Xenopus tropicalis: one gene and its partner. The protein of the gene in region 1 purifies or fractionates together with the protein of each later gene. This does not show direct contact. Links are inferred from orthologs where the notes say so. Each region holds a gene or a part of one and is shown on either strand. Other genes may lie near its edges.

Evidence for each region. Proteins that work in one complex are often made in the same cells at the same time.
Region 2: the proteins of eif2ak3 (region 1) and tbl2 purify together in Homo sapiens (affinity purification with western blotting; 3 studies listed by BioGRID). This does not show direct contact. The link is inferred for Xenopus tropicalis from reciprocal best matches to the Homo sapiens genes EIF2AK3 and TBL2.

What each region holds. Positions count from the first base shown.
Region 1 is NC_030677.2:18,083,910-18,087,562, reverse strand, and holds part of eif2ak3 (eukaryotic translation initiation factor 2-alpha kinase 3), read right to left. Parts: intron 3,153-3,653; coding exon 2,918-3,152; intron 2,014-2,917; coding exon 1,851-2,013; intron 1,735-1,850; coding exon 1,594-1,734; intron 1,341-1,593; coding exon 1,218-1,340; intron 1-1,217. UniProt on the Homo sapiens protein: Metabolic-stress sensing protein kinase that phosphorylates the alpha subunit of eukaryotic translation initiation factor 2 (EIF2S1/eIF-2-alpha) in response to various stress, such as unfolded protein response (UPR).
Region 2 is NC_030678.2:30,761,281-30,765,033, reverse strand, and holds the start of tbl2 (transducin beta-like protein 2), read right to left. Parts: upstream 2,543-3,753; 5' UTR 2,447-2,542; coding exon 2,335-2,446; intron 606-2,334; coding exon 478-605; intron 1-477. Other genes in the region: bcl7b (B-cell CLL/lymphoma 7 protein family member B), read left to right, coding at 3,256-3,347.

The DNA of each region.
Region 1 (3,653 bases):
GCCTTATGGGCTGTTCCACTGGATACTTATGGGGATATGGTCATTTATAGAAGGTTGGTATTGGGGGCAAGTTTTGGAAGCCCAGATACAAAGTTTTACCCAAGCAGAGCCCCCTGCAGGCTAGCAGTCACATGGGGCTACCAAATAGCCAATTACAGCCCTTACTTGGCTTCTCCAAAGAACTATTCTCATGCTTGTGTGGCTCATCAACACTTTTTACATCTGAGTGTGGCTCAGGAGTAAAAAACATTGGGGATTTCTGGATTAGGGAATGCCCAACCTAGAGTGGCATTTCATTAGCTGAGTTCACTGAAACGCTTTCAATTAAGAGATTACCTTGCTATGTTACTAATAAGAGCTAAGTAACTATGTTTGAATACACGATTTCAATAAAATTGTCCGGTTTAAAAAGTGCTGCATCAGTTATGGGCAAGAGTGTGTTCAAATGAGACAGATGCCAGTGCTACTTTCTGAAAGGGCATCATTCATATATGGGGGAACCATTAGGAAACAGATTAGTAGTCATGCAAGAGGGGAGGTAAGGGTCATGCCACGCAACCAAGAGATTCAAAACACAAGCAAAAGATATTATTAATGTCACAAAATGACATGGCATGCCACTAAAGAAGAGGGAGGCACCCCCTAATAACATTCTTCATTTGCCCAGGAATGACAGTTACCTCAAACTGTTAGCCACACCAAAGGGAGAACAGAATGAGTCCATTCCCACAAGATGTGTATGCGCAGAACCTATACAGGCCCAACAGATTTAAAAAATTTCCAACATGTAGCATACCATAAAGGCATATTTATCTGAAGACAGAAAAACAAAATTTCACTGGCACAAGCTTGTATTTATAGGGGAAATACAAGAAAATCAGCTGCAAATATATCTGGCTAAACCAATGCAATACTAAATAGATATATAGCATTAACTTATACTGGTGCTGACTGACAACAGAACTACCTGCAAAAGGACTTTACCAGTTTCCCATGGACATTTGTTTGCCCAAAAGTGGACTAGTGATGTACAGTTGTACAAGACACCTTAATAATACAGCTGCCCTAAGAGCGCTGCTGACTCTTTGGTTGCCAATGTGTACTCTGCCTAGCAACTGTTGTGTTATTACAACCTAACAATGCAGCATACACCTAAATAAGACTCTCAATATGAAAGACATTTCTCTAAAGGGAAAATAAAAAACTTTTAAGCTTACCATATGGATATTGCAGAACGGAAAGTGCGCCATTGCTGTATTCTTCATGAGAAAATTTATCATTGCTCAGGCACTTATCAAATTCGTCTGAGCCAACCAGCACAGGGGTACGAGAGGGAGAGTCTGAAATGAATAATGGGGCATCAGTGAAGTTATAGAAAGTATCGGCCTTTTCAGAAACAGGAGCAATATTTTTATAAATGCCAAATATGTAATCCCCAATATTATAAAGTCTATAGATTATATATAGGTTATCAGTATCACTTCCTTCTTCCCAACTTCTCAAAGCAGAATTCTATACTGGCATCTCAATAAATGCAATGAAATAGGAAGGGTGGGGAGACCCATTCCAGTACGGAAAGGAAGTGGCACTTACGAATTAAAGGTTTCCACTTAATCCTGGGTAAAGATATAATGGCATTGTCCTTAGTCCTAGTATCCAATGCAGTTGGATTTACAGGAAACTTCTCAGAAATTCTAACAGATGACTGGAGATAAAGCTGTCCACGGAACATCCCTAAACAGAATAAAAATAATTAAAAAAGAAAAAAAAGTTATGAAGAAATAATTGTAAATGCACTGGGTACTGTTCCTTTAAGGATTTAAGAGTATGATGCAATGCCAAGTACCTACCTAAGTAGAAGCTGGACTCCGTGGCACCTCTTGCTGCCTCTACAAGATCTTCTTCATCCTCAAAGATTTCATCATCTGACGTATAGCTTGTATCGTCGAAAAGGCTAATAGGAACAACCTTTCCATTTCGAACGAGCCAGGCTGAGGCGATTGGAGTGCAGAACTGGAAAGGATGGATCAGATTTATCAGAATTGAGAAAAGACAAGTGTAAACAGAGTCCGAGATGAAATGTACACTGCAAGGGGAAAAAATACCTACAATAAAGATCTACAAGCTGCATAGAGATGTAGCATCCGTTACAGCCCTCTATGAAAGGGCCAGTAACAGCAAGTAGTGAAAATGGTTTGTTTACGTTTAGAAGATCTGTTTGTCCACAAAAAGGACATTCAAAGTAGAAATAGACTTTTATACGATAAGGGTTTCATTCTGCAGCCATTAGGGCTCTGGCACACGGGGAGATTAGTTGCCCGCATTACATTTTCGCCGGTGGGATGGCATTTCGGGGAGATTAGTCGCCCGCGAACAGGGAGATTTGTCGCGGGCGACTAATCTCCCCGCGTGCCAGAGCCCTTACTGAACATCTGACCTCTTTTTATACATGGGGTCATTTTATTTTTATCTTATCTAAAGCATATGCTCTTTCCTATTACAATGGAGTGCTTGAAATTGGCATAAATCTCCAAATGTACAGGTTTCAAAAGGCCTGCTAAAAGGACCATGGGTTCCCAGAGTGGCCAAAAGCTAATTCTCCCTTTCTTACACTGCTCATAGAAAATAATTTAGTGTAAAAAGTCTTAAACCGGCTCTCTACAGACCCAAGCTTTGCCCATACATTTAAATGTGTGAATAGAGAAGCCAAGGAGCAGGTAGCACAGATTCCAGCTTTGTACTTGGGCAAAAAGGACAGACAGACTGCATTTTCATTGGATTTGTGGAGTTTAATTAGAGATGGTCCCAGTCGCACATCAGGCATTACTGTGTCCGACCAGGCGAAACTGAAAATATCTCTGTTGAAAGTTTTAAGGTGAGCAAATTCATAGACAAAAAAAAAAAAAAGTTTTTATACCTGGTGTTCCCACTCTAAATGGCCCAGCTTTCTGTTGAAAGCCATAACCTTCCAGTCAGCTACAGAAACCTTGATGGCCAAATCATTGGTTCCAACTTCTTGGTCATCTCCATCAGAAATAATCCTAGACTCGTCTGTGCTATAACTTGGCTCAAGCTGTCCTTCAATAAACCCCACTCCAGGCTCAATGTCCGGGATATATCTCAGCTCAAAATGTCCAACGCTGAAGTTCCACCTTAACAGAGATAAACAAAACAAATAGGGTTATTTATACTTAGAGGCAAGAGGCCCCGTAGAGCTTGCAATCCAACACTTATCTCTTAATCTTTAATGTAACTGTACTTTGTGTTTTATTAATGTATTATCCTGCTGTTCAGTGCAGCATACATAAGTAGCACTATATAATATTACTTTTACTATGTATTTATAAAGTGGCAATATATTCCACAACCTGGGTCGGACTGGTGGGTGCACCGCACCCCCCTAGGTGCCCCCAGCCAGCTGTGTACCCCGATGCATTCCGTCCCCCCGCCACACCCCCCTAACCCCCTGCAGGGGGCCCCCTCCCGATGTCCTCCCCTGAGCGCACATAAGCGAAACGCATCAGGGGAGGACACCTGGGGCCAGGGAGCGGCAACAGACATCGGGTCTGGGCTGCCGGGGCCCACCAGGTTTTTTCCCCGGCGGCCCAGTCTGACCCTGTCCACAGCGCTGTACAATAAGTGGGTCTATACAT
Region 2 (3,753 bases), on another chromosome or scaffold:
CCCCAGAGTGTGTGAATGTGATAGGGACCCTAAGGCTGTAAGCTCCCTTGAAGCAGAAACTCATGAATGATGTATACTCTCGCAAAGTGCTGCTCATTGTCTCTCACTGCTCTACTGCCCCTAATTGTAGATTGTAATTATTCCTTGTTATTTATTATATAACATACAACATATCTGTGAGACACAATGCTGTCTTATACATTAATATTTCCATTTAAGAAATCTTATGTAACAAAACTTGTATCCAAGTATAAACATGCCCAAAATGACAAAACAATGTGTTCCGCGGTTCTGTCCCTGGAGGGGACAATGCAATAGTTTTTGTATTGGCAGGCACATAAATAATTCAATTCCTGGGACAACTGAAGCTGCCAATAGGTCTTAAAACTTTAAAGCGTGAAAAGTGTTGATTGTATTATTTCAGGGTTAAGCTGTTATTGCCCTTTGTATTTCCTGTACTGCAAGTTAACAGGATACCTTGAGAGAGGCTGCAAGGAGCCGGTGTGTAAAATTGTGTTGCTGGGGCTTTTCTTTGCGCAGCTTCTGCAGTTTTGGCTTCTTTGCCGGTAGTTTCTCTGGTGCAGCTTCTCCATTTGCTTTTTTGGCTGAAAAACACACAAAGCAACCAAGTTAAATGAAAATGCCTTACACTGGGCAATGACATCCAAACATCTGATAATAAACATAATTGTAAAAGTGAGAGATAACAGTACTGGATTGCAAACATTGTCATAAACCATTAACAGCATATGACTTTTCAAAGGGCAACTAAAGCACTGTATTATATCATCACACTGCGCCTGTGTACGCACACACACACGCACGCACGCACGCACGCACGCAGGTGTTCTTACCTGCTTCTGTACTAGGTTTAACATGGTATAACGTAGGCACCAGGCTGCAGGATATTCTCATAATGTTTTAGTATTATACTTAAGTTTTCTTGGCAGCTTCCTGTTATGGGAAGGCTTTTCAGATTGTCAGCTCTATTGATTAGGCCCAACTGTACCTCTTGTATCTGCTGTATTTTTGCATATAATCTATATGTTCAATTTATACATCACTGAGGAAGATGTTGGCACACTATAAACCACCTGTTAATGACTGATTTTCATGCAAATATAATGCAATTCCTTCAGTTTCAGCCAGTGCACTATATTCACACCTACTGGAAACAAATGCTACACAATCAGTAGCGCTGACATGAAGCCATAGAGGAACTGGTAATGTTGCAATACACCGGCACAGAAGTTGGCACTGCACATGAGGCCTAACGCTTAGAAATATAAAGCCCCACAGGCTGCAGTTAGGGGCACGTTCTTAGGGTGCTGTGTGATTTGTGCCTCTCTGTGCTCCTACAGGGCTTCGGGCCCCTCAACCCCAGAAACGTACTGGGTCTAACGGGTTAATTTGTTCTATATAAAGTGACTGCAGTGTCTTGCAGGGAAGTTAAAGTGAGGAAGAGGCAGAGGAAAAGGACTATATAAAACTCCATACAAAGAAATATGAATAAGGATCCATTCCACAAGCCAACGAGCCCATTAAATACAGAGGTACGGAATGCTGGCACTTTATGAATACGTTTATATACACTGTGCTTGTTTCTATACAGGGATGGGCTGAGTTAAGAGGGAGCCCCTAGAAAATCTGGGACCCCAAATGAAGGCTGGGGGGGGGGGGTTATATAAAAATGAGATCCATCCAATCCAGCCTGCAGTCAGTGGGATGCTGGGGGAATTACAGCTGGGGCTGCAGGGAGTTGTGTATATCCCCCCTATGAGGCCAATGTGATGCTGGGGCTGCAGGGAGTTGTGTATATCCCCCCTATGAGGCCAATGTGATGCTGGGGCTGCAGGGAGTTGTGTATATCCCCCCTATGAGGCCAATGTGATGCTGGGGCTGCAGGGAGTTATGTATATTCCCCCTATGAGGCCAATGTGATGCTGGGGCTGCAGGGAGTTGTGTATATCCCCCCTATGAGGCCAATGTGATGCTGGGGCTGCAGGGAGTTGTGTATATTCCCCCTATGAGGCCAATGTGATGCTGGGGCTGCAGGGAGTTGTGTATATCCCCCCTATGAGGCCAATGTGATGCTGGGGCTGCAGGGAGTTGTGTATATTCCCCCTATGAGGCCAATGTGATGCTGGGGCTGCAGGGAGTTGTGTATATTCCCCCTATGAGGCCAATGTGATGCAACAGAATACCCCCCCTGCTGCACCCTAAGCCAACTCTGCCCACACTGATGAGAGCCATTCATCCCAGAGCAGCGGCATAAAGCTACTATTCACAGAAGCCCCAATTAAAGCCAGCCCGGTGCGGGTTACGGCCTCTCACCGCTCAGGTCCTGTTCGCTGTCGCTCTGTGGGCGCTTTCCCAGTAAGGCCAGAAGCAGGATAATTCCTCCCAACAGCACCGACACCACAACCACTGCCACGGCCGCCTCCATGTCCAACAAGCGCTGGGCCACGTCACACGTCACAGGGACGCGCACGGCGCCACATCACAAGCCGCGGGAGCGCGCTTGTCCCTCAACCTTGCAAGCCCCTCCCCTCTCAGTAGTGCACATAGCGCTAGCGTGTCCGAGTGTGGGCAGGCAAACGCTACAGTGCCGCTAGCCAAATAAAGGATATAACCTCTGACCTGAAAGGCCTGCCCCAATCAGCCTAATCAGCTACCTGCCCAATCCCTGCCTCCATTGTGTTACCGCCCTGCCCCTTTCATGTCTTTAGGAAAGGTGGCAACTCCAGCTCCCACTAAACCCGCAATGTAGAATCTACATCAGTACTATGCAACCAATTCCACTTGCCCTGTTTCATACCGCCTGGCATATAGAGAGTTACCCCTCAGTTACTGTTTCTTTCTTACAACTAAAGAGACGTTCATTACTGATTTAAGTGGGAAAAGTAATCTGATCAATTGGCCTCTCCCGTACCCACAACTGAACCATGCTGCTGGAAATTGAATAACTTTTAATAGCTCCACCTTTTAGTGATGGGCAAATAGACGTTTATAAAATAAAGCAATAGGCAGACATTATGCCCCAAGCTATCCCTATCACATGTTGGCAGTGACTGCATGAACATTATTTTCCCTTTCATTATATGGCAGATTTTCAGCTTGCCACTTGCCCCGCCCCCAGACATTAGCTCTCCTTCCTTTCCCTGACAGCGGGGGTTCAGGGATCAGTGTCGTCACTATCCGAGTACGATAAGGCCACGCCCCTTGGTGCCGTCACGCTGAGGTGTCCGTAAGAAAATGTCGGGCCGCTCAGTGAGAGCCGAGACCCGCAGCCGGGCTAAAGATGACATCAAAAAAGTGATGGCAGCCATCGAGAACGTCCGCAGATGGTGAGGACGAGCTCAGAGAACGATAAACAGGGCTGCGTTGCACTTATTAGGCGCGACTTCTAGCTTGTAAGAGAAACGACAGATCTCTGATGCCGGCTTGATACTTACAGTGATAAAAACGCTGATTGGTGGAGCGCGTGATGGACGTTGTAATGGGCCAATCGCCGCGCAGCAGTCAGGAGATAACTTTGGAATGAGAGACAGTGACAGCTCCAAAGGGTGGGGAGGATGAGATACAGAGAGGCTATGCGGTAATTGGCTGAAGTACGCTCCGCCTTTCACAGGGTCCCTTTCCAACTGTTGCTATGGGAACATATTAAGCGCCCGAAGTTTATTATAGCGCAGATGCAGTTTTTGAGTAATGGTATCGCTCTTGTAGGGGGCGCAATCATTGTGTAGCAACATT